Callithrix jacchus: one gene and its partners. The protein of the gene in region 1 interacts with the protein of each later gene in a biochemical or structural test. Links are inferred from orthologs where the notes say so. Each region holds a gene or a part of one and is shown on either strand. Other genes may lie near its edges.

What was found.
Region 2: the proteins of FOXA2 (region 1) and OTX2 form a complex in vitro, tested with the Homo sapiens proteins (2 studies listed by BioGRID). The link is inferred for Callithrix jacchus from reciprocal best matches to the Homo sapiens genes FOXA2 and OTX2.
Region 3: the proteins of FOXA2 (region 1) and HOXA5 form a complex in vitro, tested with the Homo sapiens proteins (2 studies listed by BioGRID). The link is inferred for Callithrix jacchus from reciprocal best matches to the Homo sapiens genes FOXA2 and HOXA5.

The regions. Positions count from the first base shown.
Region 1 is NC_133506.1:29,610,372-29,615,074, forward strand, and holds the start of FOXA2 (hepatocyte nuclear factor 3-beta), read right to left. Parts: upstream 3,002-4,703; 5' UTR 2,721-3,001; coding exon 2,634-2,720; intron 1,629-2,633; coding exon 327-1,628; 3' UTR 1-326. UniProt on the Homo sapiens protein: Transcription factor that is involved in embryonic development, establishment of tissue-specific gene expression and regulation of gene expression in differentiated tissues.
Region 2 is NC_133509.1:91,472,574-91,477,281, reverse strand, and holds the start of OTX2 (homeobox protein OTX2), read left to right. Parts: upstream 1-1,755; 5' UTR 1,756-1,859; intron 1,860-2,018; 5' UTR 2,019-2,082; intron 2,083-2,940; exon of another isoform or gene 2,941-4,080; intron 4,081-4,226; exon of another isoform or gene 4,227-4,362; intron 4,363-4,382; exon of another isoform or gene 4,383-4,641; intron 4,642-4,708. UniProt on the Homo sapiens protein: Transcription factor probably involved in the development of the brain and the sense organs. Can bind to the bicoid/BCD target sequence (BTS): 5'-TCTAATCCC-3'.
Region 3 is NC_133512.1:30,951,870-30,956,764, reverse strand, and holds HOXA5 (homeobox protein Hox-A5), read right to left. Parts: upstream 2,954-4,895; 5' UTR 2,880-2,953; coding exon 2,318-2,879; intron 1,342-2,317; coding exon 1,091-1,341; 3' UTR 310-1,090; downstream 1-309. UniProt on the Homo sapiens protein: Sequence-specific transcription factor which is part of a developmental regulatory system that provides cells with specific positional identities on the anterior-posterior axis. Also binds to its own promoter.

The DNA.
Region 1 (4,703 bases):
CACAAAAGATATCAGAATCTGCAGGTGCTTCAAGAAGCGGGGGTCTACACAGTAGTGGAAACAGGACACTTTTTTTTGACTTCATATTTTTTCCCGTTTTCCTCCTTATATAGAACGCGGGATATCAATGTGGCCCTCTGTTTGGGACGGAAGGGCTGCAGCGGGTGGGGGAGACTGCTGTCTTGGGGGGTTGAGGTGGGCGCGATGGATTTCTTCTCCCTTGCGTCTCTGCAACGCGGCCTCGCCAAAGTCTCGACTCCACTTGCTCTCTCACTTATCCTCGATCCGGGCTGCCAGAGTCAGCCGGGCCTGAAGCCGTCGTCTTCTTAAGAAGAGTTCATAATGGGCCGGGAGTACACCCCCTGGTAGTAGGAGGTATCTGCGGCCAGAGGGGAGGCGTCCAGGCCCGTTTTGTTCGTGACGGGGCCCATGGCCAGGCTGCCAGGCATGGGGGAGCCGTAGCCCGGGTAGTGCATCACCTGTTCATAGGCCTTGAGGTCCATTTTGTGGGGCTGGTGGTGGTGGTGGCTGTGGTGATGCTGCTGCTCCGAGGACATGAGGTTGTTGATGGAGAAGGGGTGGTTGAAGGCGTAGTGGTGCTCCGGCTTCAGGTGCGCCTCGGGCGGCAGGCCCGGGTGGTGGGGCGGGCCCAGCAGGTGGGCCGCGGCCTGCTGCTGCCCAGGAGAGGGCGCCGGCTCCGGGGGACTCAGCGCCGCCGCCGGCGTCCCCTTCAGCTCTCCCAGGCCCCCTCGCTTGTGCTCCTGGCACGGGGAGGCGCTCGAGTGAGGCGACTCGGTGCCCGCCGGAGTCTCGGAGGCCGGCCCGGCGGCCTCCCCCAGTTGCGCCTGCGAGGCCTGCGCCCCGGATGCCGCCTTCTTGCCACCACCCGCGGCGCCCGCGGCCTCCTTCAGCGCCAGCTGCTTCTCGCACTTGAAGCGCTTCTGCCGGCGCAGGTAGCAGCCGTTCTCGAACATGTTGCCCGAGTCGGGGTGCAGGGTCCAGAAGGAGCCCTTGCCCGGCTTGTCGGGGGAGCGGGGCACCTTCAGGAAGCAGTCGTTGAAGGACAGCGAGTGGCGGATGGAGTTCTGCCAGCGCTGCTGGTTCTGCCGGTAGAAGGGGAAGAGGTCCATGATCCACTGGTAGATCTCGCTCAGCGTCAGCATCTTGTTGGGGCTCTGCTGGATGGCCATGGTGATGAGCGAGATGTAGGAGTAGGGCGGCTTGGCGTGCGTGTAGCTGCGCCGGTAGGTCTTGGGGTCGCGCGCGCGGCTCAGGCCCGCCTGCCCGTACATGGGGCTCATGGAGTTCATGTTGGCGTAGGGGGCCAGGCCGCCCATGGCCCCGGCCGCCTGCCCCCCGAGCGGGCTCAGGCTGGGACTCAGGTGCGGCCCCATGCCCGCCACGCCGGCCGCCCCGGCGGAGCCACCCATGCCCGCCATGGCGCCCGCGCCGGGGGACATGCCTGCCAGGGACGGGCTCATGCCCGCGCCCACATACGACGACATGTTCATGGAGCCCGCGCTCATGTTGCCGGAGCCGCTGCCCATGGCGGCCGCCGACATGCTCATGTACGTGTTCATGCCGTTCATCCCCAGGCCAGCGTTCATGTTGCTCACGGAGGAGTAGCCCTGCGGACAGAGCCCCGAGAGGGAGGCGACAGCGTTAGCACCGCGGCTGGAGGGTGCCCAGACCTCCCACCCGCCGCCCAGGCCTCCGCCTCCGGGGAGGCCTCCGGGGAGCCCTTTCCTCCCCTGTGGCCCAGTCTCCGGACTCCGAGTCTGTTTCATCCAAGGAGAGCCACGATCGATCGCCCTGGGAAGGCTGCCTGAGCATATGGCCCGTTCTTAGCTCTTCTCCACCTCGCCCAGGTTCTAGAACAGGGGTCCCATGGAGTACTCCCAAGCCAGAACCCCAAATGCATTATCCTATGCCAGAGTCTCCCCAAACTCTCCTACCAGCATACTGAGCTGGCTCCGAGGCCCGAAGTCCCCGGACGCCACCTCCAGTCGCAGCAAGCAACCTGCGGGACACCGCGCTGGGCGCCTCGAGCTGCCTCCAGCGAAGACTGTTTCGGGCCCCTTCTGTCCGACCTCCCTCCCGGGACGCCCTCCCTTGTCCAAGGGGGACTGAAAGGCAGAGCCTGTGCGGAGTGCAGGGTCGGAGGGAGGCACTGAATGGGGCAATAGGGAAGAAACGGAGACCCGAACTACACACGGCTGGGCTTTGCCGGCACAAACTTTCTTTCTCTTTGTCCACGAGTCTTTGACTCTGCCTCCACCTCGGCCCCCAACTCCTACCCATCTTCTCCTCCTCAGCTCCCCACCCCCTCGCCGGCCGACCTCCCACCCCTCCCCAGCCGCACGCTGCCAAACATAACTCTGTTAGGATAGTGCGTGGCTCGGCCACGAAGAGGATTTGGAGGCGCCGCAAGTCAATATTTGATCACAAAGTTAATATTATCTCAAGGCTAACAGTGTGTCGTATAAAAAAGAGACCCATTTGAGTCGAAGGAGGGCGGAAAAGGCGGCTGCCCAGAAAGGCTAGGGTGGGGAGGAGGGTGCCAGCGAGGGAAGCGGTCCTGAGGTTGGGGAAGGAGCGAGCGCCACTTCCCCCAGGAAAAGGCGAGCGCTTACCTCGGGCTCGGCATAGTAGCTGCTCCAGTCGGACGGCTCGTGCCCTTCCATCTTCACCGCTCCCAGCATACTGGAAGCCGAGTGCATGGCAGTTTAAAATTTAACAGCCACAACAAACGACCAGCAATCACCCCCACCCCCACCCTCTTTTAAAAAAAGTCAGCCGAGGCACCGTCCCCTCCTCCCTCCCTCTCTCGCACTCCCTCTCCCTGGGCTCCACTCCCTCTCTCTCCCAGGGCCGGTCGGAGACGTTAGTTGGAAGTGGGGGGGAGGGGGGGCGGCGAGAAGCGGAGGAGGCCCCGGCCAGCGCCCCGCGGTAGGGAGCGCCCTCCGCCGCCGCCGCGCTCACGGGCTGCCCGGTGGCGGCTGAGGTTGGCAGTGCCGAGCTGCCCCAAGGCGGCGGGAAGCGCGCGGCGCGGGGGCTGGTGGGGGGGGGTATGAGGAGGAGGAGGGAGAAGGAGGAGGTGGAGGAGGAGGAGAAGGAGGAGGAGGAGGAGGTGGTGGAGGAGGAGGAGGAGGAGGTGTGGACCGCGGAGCGGACAAGTGCCGCAGTGACGTGGGCGGCTGGTGATATAGCGCGGCGCGCTGGCGCGGGCCTCCAATCCCCAGACCCGGGGCAGCCCATTTGAATAATCAGCTCACACCTAGGTGAGAGGGAGCTGCCGCGGGCGCCCCGAACCTGCCCCTCGGCGCCTGCCGCCCGCCCCGCTACCGCGGCGCCCGGCACTCCTGGGCGGGCCTGGAGAGCGGGCCAGGCGGGTGATCCGGCACGCGGGATCCCTGGTCTAGTCCCCTTTCCTCCCGGGTACGCGGCGAGTCCCCCGAGGAAGGAGGGACCTGGGAGGAGACCACCCTCCGGGGCGGCTCCGGGCTCCAGCCCCCGCCCCGTCCCATAGAGCCGGGCGCTCGGTGCTCCTGTCGGAGGGCCTGTCCAGCCTCCCTGCCCGGCAGAACCCTAGGAAAGCCGGTTTTATTTATGCCGGGTTTCGTGGTTCTCAGCGCTCATTCCCTGTCAAAACAACAAGCGGATGACAGAGCCAATCTGCAAAGCGCTGTCGTATTTAGTGTACACACCTTCAACTCGCCCGCCGCTGCTCCTGCGAGGGCCCTCCCTGTTACAGTTCAGACCCTGAGCGGCCCGGGGAAACGCGCGGGGCGCACGGTCCCGCAGCCTCGGCTCTCCGCTTCCTACGAGTCCCGCCGCCCGCGACCCTCAGCGGGGAGGCTGGCTCCCGGCGCACGCAACCCCTCTAGCCGCGGCCGACGATTGGGAGGCTGAGATTTGTCTCTTGACATTCAGGCCGGCGTGTTTCAAGGTTACTTTTCAGTCACAACCGAGGTGCCCACAGCATTTCGTAACTAAAACAAACAGGGCAAGAGGTGGGGAGGGAGGGGTGAAGAGAGAAAAATCCAGGAATCAATGATGGGGCATATGGAGTTGACTTTTAAGAGGGTCTCTGTCCTCTCTGCCTTCCAGAGGGGCGGCTTTATAGAAATTAGAAACTCCAGTAATCGTATACTTTTATTTCCACTGCAGTTCCTGGGTTCAAAAATTGTCTTCTGTACTGTGTTAGCCACCAAGATCTCTGTGAGCAGAGATTGGGAGTAGGGAAATATTGCAGGTGTTTGGTTGTGGAGGCTGTTTCTTCTAAAATCCTGGCTGGACCCTGGGGATTCAGCCCTGTACCCACCCACTCAGAGACAGAGAAAACATAGGAACTGGTGGGCATCCAGCCCACTTGTCCAAAATTGGGGGCGCTGGCTGCAGAAGACAAGCGAGATGGCAGACACGGAGCTTCGCATTGAAGATCGAGTGAGGGTGAGGCTGGAAGCCAAGCGAGGAGGGAGCAGTAGGCACCGGGGAACCGCCTCCCCAACCCCAGGCCTGGCAGGTCTGCACTGTTTGGGACCCAAGGGGCAGATGTCTTGCTGCTGAAAGGCCGATGATTTGGACAATTCACAGAGAGGACACTCATCAGCCGGCTGAGTGTCAGGGCGGGAATCTACCCCAAAGTCAGGGTCTGCATCTGCGCGGAAGCCGTGCCCTTCGGACCCCAGAGTGCTGAAGAC
Region 2 (4,708 bases), on another chromosome or scaffold:
CAGAAAGTCCTGACTCCTGGGAACCCGACAGCCAGCGGGTCTCCGGACTGGAGCTGCTGCAGAGGGCCGGGAAGGAGCTGGGCGGGCCCCGGGCCGCTAGGGGACTAGAGGGGCCACCAGGGCCCAAAGCTTTAGAGACACCTGTGACAGAGGCTGCGGCCACGGAGTCCCCAGCCCCAGGCCGAGCTGGAGCCGGAGCCCAGCCCCGCTGCCGAAAGCTTGCTGCCTCGTGCGCACTCCCGTAATTCGTTAATTGCTGTAAATCCCAAGGACGGCCACATTTGATTACACATACAGTATAAGAACCGACAACAAAGCGACGAATTAATTACCAACTTCATTAACATAGGTCCCCAAATTAAAGGCAGCGAGCTCTTTCTTTGGGCCCACTAGCAGTGGTGGTGATGGTAGTTGGTGGTGGTGAGGGGGGGAGGTGTTTAGGAAGAGATTTTATTTTTCTTTTACTGCACTGGGTATTGAGAAGAGCTGTTTTCTGCTCCCTCCGCTCCCCCCACCGTTATTCACATCCACTCAGCAATTCCGATATCCCTCCCCGCATACTCCGCCCAGTCTGTTTTTGCTTTTCTAGAGACTCAGATCCGTTTGAAACCTGTCCGGTCCCTGATCTCTGTGCCAGGCAAAAAAGTTGGGCTGGAGGTCGCACTCTCTGGCTCGGGTCCCCAGCTCCCATCACTTCCCAGCCTCCCGGCTCTCAGCTCGGGGCTCGGGCGGCGCCAGCCCAGTTAGCTCCAGGCCTCGCAGTGTCCGGCATTTGGCGGCGTTTGTTCTAACACAGAAACTGTTTCCAACGGGGGCCTTCCACGTTCGCTCCCTTCCCCGATATCCTGTCTACCTCACACTCGCATCCTCCAGGCCTGATGTGGCCCCAGCTACTTCCCCTAAATGGGATCTGTGATTTGATTCCGGGGTTCGTGTTCCCTACAGTCAGTCTTGGGCTTCACAACTCCAAAAAAAAAAAAAAAACCCAGGCGCCTACCAGAAGCCGGGGTCTCTCACTCAGGGATCATTTACTTATATGTCTAAAGATATTTATAACGGGGTAGGGAATAGAGAAGACACTGAGATTTAGAAAATAGTTTGTTCTTGGACTGGTGTATCTCTCTGTCTTCCCTACATGCCCACATGGCACTCCATCCCTCCCTCTTTTACCCTTTCTGGCCGTCAGCGTGCTCTGGCCCTGTTTGAGAAGGCATAGTAGTGTTTTTGAGTTTCAGTCTTACCTGCTTTCTGCCTCTCATCCACACCCTTATTGCTGGGCTTGAATGTGATAACCCAGTCACTCCCCACTCCTCCACTCCGCCCCCTGCGCTGCTTCAGCATTTACTTAAATATTTTTATCTTCCCATCTTACATTGTATGGGTTTCCTTTCTTCCCTTCCCTAAAAATAAAAAAAACACAAAGGAAAGAGGAAAGGAAATTTCAGAGTAAAGGAACCAGAGAAAAAGAGGGTAAGAGAAGAACTCCCTGTCCATCATTTTAATTATACAATTAGTTCACATGCTCCGGCCCATAATGTATATTTTAAGCGGAGCCCAGTGTCTTTAAAGAACATTCTGGTAATGTCGGAAGCCTGGATTTGTTGCCGGCTCATCCCCCGGTGCAGCAGCGGCCTGTTTTCCTCCCCCTGTTGTGTGTTTTTATTATTTTCCCTCTGGCTTAGATGTGTCAATCATTCTCTCCCTGCCATTGGTTGGAGAGTTTGCGTCAAAAAGTTGCCAGAGAGGCGCTTTCTCAGCAAATCTCCCTGAGAGCGGGACCGACCTCAGCTCCAACTCAGCCTCCACTGTGATTAAAAATAAAAATTGCTAGAGCAGCCCTCACTCACTACATATACTTTGTATGTATTGCAGAAGGGCCCACGCGTGTTTAGAACTCTAGCCGCCTTCCTCATTTTTTGTTCTTAAAAAAAATTTTTTTTCTTTTTGGTTGTGTTTGACTTTTCATGGATGGGTGAAGACTACAAGGTTTCTAACTCAATACTCTTGATTTCTTTTAGGATAGCTGGCTATTTGGAATTTGAAGGATATTTGACTTTTTCTAACCTCCCATGAGGCTGTAAGGTAAGTGTCCGTCTGTCTTGTCTCTCTATATCTACGTGTACTGGTGTCTGTCGGCCATCACCCTATAGTACCGCCAATAGACCGACCGATGCCCCTGTGGGAACGTGGAGTTCTGCAGGCGGATGCATTATTTTCTCTTACAAATTTTGAGGCGTAACAACGATCGTTGCAAAAAAAGAAATGTGATCTGGAAATGAGAGCGGGAGTGGGAGAGAGTCAGAGAGCGTGCTCCTGGGGGTCGTCGCTTCTGCAAAACGTCGTCGAAACGCTGCGAGTGTAATCTGGGTGTTTTGGAAGGTTTTGTTTGTGGTTTTGTTTTTACGTCAACGCCGTTCTGGGCTTCTCCCCGCGATCTTTGCGTTTTGGCCCCTAGATTGGTTTGGGGTCGTTTGGATGGATCCCAAAGACGTTTTTAGAGTCCGAGACAAAACGATGCAGATGTAGCTAGATGTATGGATTGAAACAACGATAATAAAAAGTCAGGCGCCTCCTTGGGCCCGCGCGCCGGAAACCTGGCTGGCTTGCGGGTCTGCCTGGGCCAGGGGCAGCCGCTCGAGCCCCTGCCCGCCCCTGATGAACCTGAGTGGAAACCGGAGCGGATAACCGAGGAGGACGAGAGCGCTGGTTTGTAGTCAGCCCCGGCGCTCGCCGCTCGCTTTTTTTTGGCCTCCTCTCCCTCAGCCTAACGCAGCTCGGTTCTCTTTCTTCCAAAAGCTTCCAGGTCACCTCTTTGTTTTTAAACACCCACCACCCCACAAAACCAAACCACCTTGGGCTGAAATTACGCAGCCCCCTACCCCCACCCCCGGTTGCCCTGGTCCCCGACCCTGGTCACACGGCCGAGAGAACGTGAAGAGTGGTTTTTCAACAGGACTTTGCCGGGCATGGTTCGCGGCCCGCCCCCGTCGCCCTCCGCGCGCACCTGGGGCGGGCAGAAGTGGCAGCGAGTGGCCCCTGCTCCGCCCGAGGCCGCGGCCGGGCCGAGGACAGGAATCCTTCTGCTGGGACCGCGGCCCCTCAGCTGTTCTCTGGCGGGGAGCGTCAGGGCTTGCCCGCGCGCTCGCGCACCCCCTTCCCAGGTTCAGGCTCGGAGACAATGAGGTGTCGTGGGTCTGGACCGGGCGGGGGCGGAGGGGTTCGCCGAGGCCCAGCTTGTGCCCTGGGTCTGCTCAGTGAGAACCATTAGAAGGTCTCTGCCAGCTCCGGTCCCGGGCGACTGGTCGGGCTGCAAACTCCCAAGAAGTCTTCGCTTTGCTGCGTTCAGGTGACTGTTGAAATCGATGCCCGATTTCGGGACACATTTTTGGAAACCCAAGTCCTCCGTCAGAATTCCACTGAGTTGGCTTTTGCCTCCTTCCCAGGCCGAAGTGGTGCGCGGGGAGCGAAGGCCGAGCGGCGCTGACCCTGCGGTGGCTGATTGCTTGGGGAGAGGACAGGGAAGTCGCTCCTTGAAATTCTCCCCAGCATCCTAGGGCTTTTCGGGAAGGAATTTCTCCTGCTCAGTTCGGGACTTTTTCCAGGTGCCAAAAGTTATTAGCAGGGGAGAGGAGCAGGAGAGGAAACTCCTCCCCCCAGAGCAAGGTAGACACCCAGACCTCAGCGCTGCTAACACCGGGGCTTTCTCCCAACGATAATTAATAGTCAAGGCCAACCCTTTTGGCACGTTTCTTCCTCCCTCCCTCGCGGGTGGCAGAGTTGTTTGATTCCCCGAGGCCAGAAACTTTCACTCGAGTTCGCCGGAGAGAGGCCAACGCCCGCCGTTTTCCGCGGTGCCCACACGTCTCCTTTTTCTTTCTTTCCTCCTCTTCGTCGTCTTTCCAGCCTCAGGCCAGTCGCCAGTCCGCGTAGTTTTGTTTCCTTTCCATCATGCAGAAAATTAATCAGCCCGGACGAGAAGCAGAGCGGAGCATGGCTGCCTGTAATTAAGGGACGTGTGCCCCTCGGATTATCTCGTTAGTTTATCAAGAAAACATTTATTATAATTAATTCTCGGACGAGGTAATTATTGTTGAGCGAGGACACAGCAACTGGTAGATGGGCTTCTTGGAAGAAAAAAAAAAAAAACAAGGCGAGGGGGGAGGGGGAAGCGACAGATTGCAGGAATTGACCGTTAGATATAAGGCTGCGCGGGCGACGCGGGCAGTGGAGCGGGACCTCGGGCACCAGGCCTGCGGGGCTGCGGGGCTTCCGGCAGGGACACGAGGCCCAGGAACTCGCTCCCGGAGGTACGGTCGCCGACCGGCTGCCTGGACTCACCGCATGACCGTGGTCAGCTTCTAGGTATGAGTTCTCCAGAGGCCACCTCGTAAGCAGTCATAGTGAGGCGTAGATTTTGGAAAAGTTATTTCTTTTCCCCATTCTGGACTCTGATTCGGGAGGAAAAGGGTTTTAAAAGTTAGATGAAAGGGCCCACGCCTTCTAAGCAAAGTGCAGACCTAGGCCGGCTGTGGAGAGAATCTCTTAGTTTTGTTTTTTGGTTTTCCTCTCTTCCTTTTAAAGGTGGATCCGGGAGCAAAAGTGAAAATAGTCTCTTCCAAGAATTTTAGCCATTTTGCAATGGTAAGGGCAGAGGAGCTCCTGGAAGGATCTCAGCCCTGGTGCTTTTTCTGTCGGTTACTGCTTTTTA
Region 3 (4,895 bases), on another chromosome or scaffold:
CAAAGCCCTGGGCTTTTCCTCCTTCTTTCTCACTCTGTCTCTCTGTTTTGTACCCAGCAAGTTAACTTGGTTTCCTCAGAGATGGTCAGGGTGGCCTCGGGCTTTGGAACCGCCTGCAGCTTTTCCCACCTTCTGCCCTGAACTTTGTGATGGGTCAGAGTTAGGAAGGCGATGGGCCAGTGTTGGTCTGAGGTCTCCCTGCACAGGTCATCTGCTCAGGTAGCCTCAGACCTACGGGCTTCCAGGACTGAACAGACAGACAGAAAAGCAGACAGAGCCACTCACTATTTGGCACAAACCAGACCAAGAGAACTTACAATAGAAAGTTTATTTTTTGTTCCAGTCAGTATTTTTTCCTTAAAAACAAATACCAAAAAACAAAACAAAACAAAAAGCTGATCACAGTTTGCTTAAAACAGCCAGACTTGGACAATATTTGTAACTTTGTTCACAAAAACATACATCACTGAAGCTGCGCTTATAAGAGCCACTTCCAGAGTTCGTGCAAAGGGTCCTACAAAGGCACGCAGGGACACACCGCTTGGAGTCACAGTTTTCGTCACAGTCACTAGTCACTACATGTTGAACAAGTCGTGTCTCATCAAGTCACCTCTACAACAGCATTAATTACACAAGGAATATAGGTAGTTTGAATAAAAATATCTTTAACAGCTTGGAGCTATTGAGACAGGAACACTTCCACGCACATGCACAGTTAAACAACTTGAGTGCAACACACAACATTGGCACTAAACGAGATTGAAGGGGGAATTTTTGTGTGTTTTTTTCTCTTTTTTTTTTGTTATAGTTACTTCAAGTAACACAGCTTGCTTCATATAAATAAGTTAAAACATCTATTTTTTTTTTTTTCAAGACAAAGCCATTCAGGACAAAGAGATGAACAGAAAGCAGATCTACTTATACAGGCGCTATAATGGCAATAAACAGGCTCATGATTAAAAGATGAATTAGGGCAACGAGAACAGGGCTTCTTCACAGAAGGAACACAAGGGAGTTTCAGAAAGTCACCTTTGTACTGACACTATGCGGGATCCGCTAATACTGCTCAGTACTTTAAACGCTCAGATATTCAGGGGCGGAAGGCCCCTCCTGCCGCGGCCATGCTCATGCTTTTCAGCTTATTATCTTTTTTCCACTTCATTCTCCGGTTTTGGAACCAGATTTTAATTTGTCTCTCGGAGAGGCAAAGAGCATGTGCTATTTCAATCCTTCTTCGGCGGGTCAGGTAGCGGTTGAAGTGGAACTCCTTCTCTAGCTCCAGGGTCTGGTAGCGCGTGTAGGCCGTCCGGGCCCTTTTGCCTTCCGGGCCGCCTATGTTGTCTGCAACAGAAAAGTCAGCGGTTTAGCCACCAACTCCTCACCCCCTGGCTTCCAAAGTCCGCCAGGGGGACAAGCTTGCGTCCTGAATAGGGAACCCAGGCGAAAGGCTCAACAAGTTCTCCATACCAGCCCGCACACCCCTCCCGAATTTCCTTCCCTCTTCCTTTCTAGAGAGAAAACAATACAATTTGGACCCTGGGAACAATCCGCCCATCTGAGGCTGGGGCCATGTCCGGAGGACTCCGGCTTTCCCTGGCCTCACTCCTGCCCTCTCCACCCTGCCCCGGGCGCCCCGACTGGGAGGCACAGCTCTCCCAGGCTGCCCACCGCTCCGAAGCCCAGGAAGCACGACCCTTTCCTGAGCGCCCAAGTGGCCTTCGGGTCACCCTCCCTCAAAGTTCCAGTCCCTCAAGCCGCCTCCAGTTTACAGCCTGCAGGCTTGGGGCGCCTGCTTTCTTTTTCTTCCCTTTCCTTCTCTCTCCCTACTGCCCCCAAACTTCAGAATCCTGCCGGCTCTCGCCTCGATTTTTCCCCCCAAGCCCCTTTTCCGGGGCTCTAATTAGTAACGCTGTTTCCCCAGCGTAGCCCCCTTCATAAATCATCCGCCCTGACAAGCCCGATTCACGGCTCCTACTGCCATCCTCTACCTCTCTGTGCCTTGCTCGGCTGGCCTGACCCAGGAGCGCGTTCCACAGCGTGGGGTTCAGAGGGTTTTTTTTTTTTTTCTTCCTTCCCCTTTCAGTGCCTAAACTGGCCCAGCCAGCGCCCGATTCCCCCATTATTTATGAGCGCGGAGTGTTTGCAAGGAAGAGGAGGAAGGAGGAAGGCAGGAGAAGGAGAATGGCAAAGAGAGGCTCCGCAGGGCTGGGAGAAATGAGACCAGAAGAGAGACTGGGAGAGGGTGGCAGAGGAAAGAGAGGGGATCGAGAGCCGCGTCCCCCACGGTAGCGTGGATTTAGAAAAAGGCTGGCTTTACCATGACTTATGTGCAGCTTGCGCATCCAGGGGTAGATCTGGGGTTGGGCGGGCGGCGCCGGGCTCGGCTCGCTCTGCGCACTCGCCTGCTCGCTGCTGGCAGGGGCGTCCTCCTCTGCTCCGGACGCCGTGCCAACCCCCTCTCTGCTGCTGATGTGGGTGCTGCCGGCGTTGGCCGAGGCGCCGCTGGAGTTGCCCAGGGAGTTTTTCCCGCCGTGGTGGCTGTCGCCGCCGGGCGAGGGGGCCACGGCGGAGCAGGGCAGCGGGTCAGGCGGAGGCGAGTGCGTGGACGTGGCCGGCTGGCTGTACCTGGGCTCGGCGGGCGCCGCGCTGGCGCCGGCCGCGTAGCTGCGGGCGCGCTCTCCGGAGCCAAAGTGGCCGGACCCCGAGCGGCCGACGCTGAGATCCATGCCATTGTAGCCGTAGCCGTACCTGCCGGAGTGCATGCTCGCCGAGTCCCTGAATTGCTCGCTCACGGAACTATGATCTCCATAATTATGCAACTGGTAGTCCGGGCCATTTGGATAGCGACCGCAAAATGAGTTTACAAAATAAGAGCTCATTTGTTTTTTGATATGTGTGCTTGATTTGTGGCTCGCGGTCGTTTGTGCGTCTATAGCACCCTTGCACAATTTATGATGAATTATGGAAATGACTGGGACATGTACTTGGTTCCCTCCTACGTAGGCACCCAAATATGGGGTACGACTTCGAATCACGTGCTTTTGTTGTCCAGTCGTAAATCCTGCCTGATGACCTCTAGAGGTAAACTCGTGCACTAATGGGGGAGTTGGGTGGAGGCGAGAGGGTTGGCGCGCGTGCCCCGGGCGCGTGCCCGCTGCTCGTTGCCGCCGTTCAGTCGGACTCGAGCGCCACCCGCTGGAGTCAGGGCGCATCGCCCCGCTTCCGACCCGGGGTTGCAAGGGCTGGGGTCGAATTGAGGTTACAGCCCATTATGGCAAAATTATTGCATTTCCCTCGCAGTTCCATTAGGATGTACCAATTGTTAGGCCGTCAGCTGCCGATCGCGCGCCGGGCGAGGATACAGAGGATTGGGGGGAGGTGGTGACCTGCATTTTATTTACAACAACTTTATTTCCCCCGTTTTGCAGCCCCTCTTATTTTTGTGTCGAGGTTGGGGTCGACTCTGCCCGTCCTGCCGGCAGCTCTGAATTTTGAAAATACAGATACCACCTTTGGGGAAGGGGGAAAGCCATTTAGCCAATTGGAGAAATAAATCCTGCCCGCAGCAGCAGCAGCAGCAGCAGCTACAATTACGGCTCTGTTTTTGCTAGCGCATGAGGGACAGTGTCCCTGCCGCTCTTAAATGACAGGCGTCTATTAAAGATAGCTTTTGTGTAGTGTTTCTCCAAAGCGAGGTCAAATTCCATACAATTTTATAACCGTAGTTGATTTTTCTTTCGTGTGAGTATGGTTTTCATGTCATTAGTTTGCTATTTGATTTGCTTACGTATCCAGCTTGGAAAGCCTTCATCACAGGGTCTGGTTCCTCGAGCCAGCCGGGCCCCAAGTTGGAGGGTTCTCGTTGAACTCAGCGAGTGGGCCCAGGCTCCTTGCAGCCACAGAGGCTGCTTAGGGTCTGAGGATCCGCGGGCCGGGTTACTGGGGTCTTGCTTAGACCTCCAGGAGTGAAATGAGGGCGATAATGGAAGCATTTCGTGGCAGTGCCTAGTATCTCCGTAGTTATTTTCCAGGGCTCCGAAAGACGCAAGTAAATCACAAATACAGCTGAGAGGCAAGCGGAGTCTCCCCGCTGGAGGCCCGGTGTTGCAGGCGCCCCTGGTACCTCTGGAAGCCAGGACTCTGGAGGCTCCCATGGCCCCGGGCCCCTCGTTGGGTCTGAACGCTGCTGTGGTGGCCACGCGGGCGCTATCCGAGGGAGGGAGCGGGAATCCGGAGCCGGGAGCCTGAGGGAGCCCAGACGGTCCCCGGACTGTACTGTTCCACTCGCGCCCAGGTTAGCTCGCCTCGTCTGGGGCAGCTTCTCTTCCACTGACGGTTGCGCAAGCAGGGCCGAGAGACTGGGCTCTGTTGGGGCCCCCTTTGTTCCTCCAGCTTCCTGTTCTGGGAGGCGCCCTGGGAGGCCGAGACAACGCCAGGACCCAGCACTTAGACCCCCTCTTTCCACCGGCCAGAGATGATTTGATGATGCCCTTCGGGACCTCCTGGCGAGGGACCTAGGCAGAGACGCCCAGACAAGAAACGGGACTCGGCCCAGGGCTCTTTCCTCCCTAGTAGCCCCGTGTCCCTAGGTCGGGGAGCGCAGAGGCACTAGCACAGGAGCCCCGGACGCATTCAGGGCGCACCCCGGAGCTCCGGCTCGGGTTTGGGCAGCCTTGTGGAGCGGGACTGTGTGTGTGCAGTGCGCCCCGCTCCACCGCTGGTATTGGCTGTGTGTGAGGTTTTGTTTTGTAAGAAATAAATGCACAGACGCTTGCAAAGCTGCGGGCTCCCCTGAAGCTGCAGAAGCCCCCAGATGGGAGCAGGCGGAGAGAAAAGTTGGGGAGCAGGCGAGGGAAAGAGGGCAAAGCCGAAGGAGGTTGCAGCGCTGGCCTGGT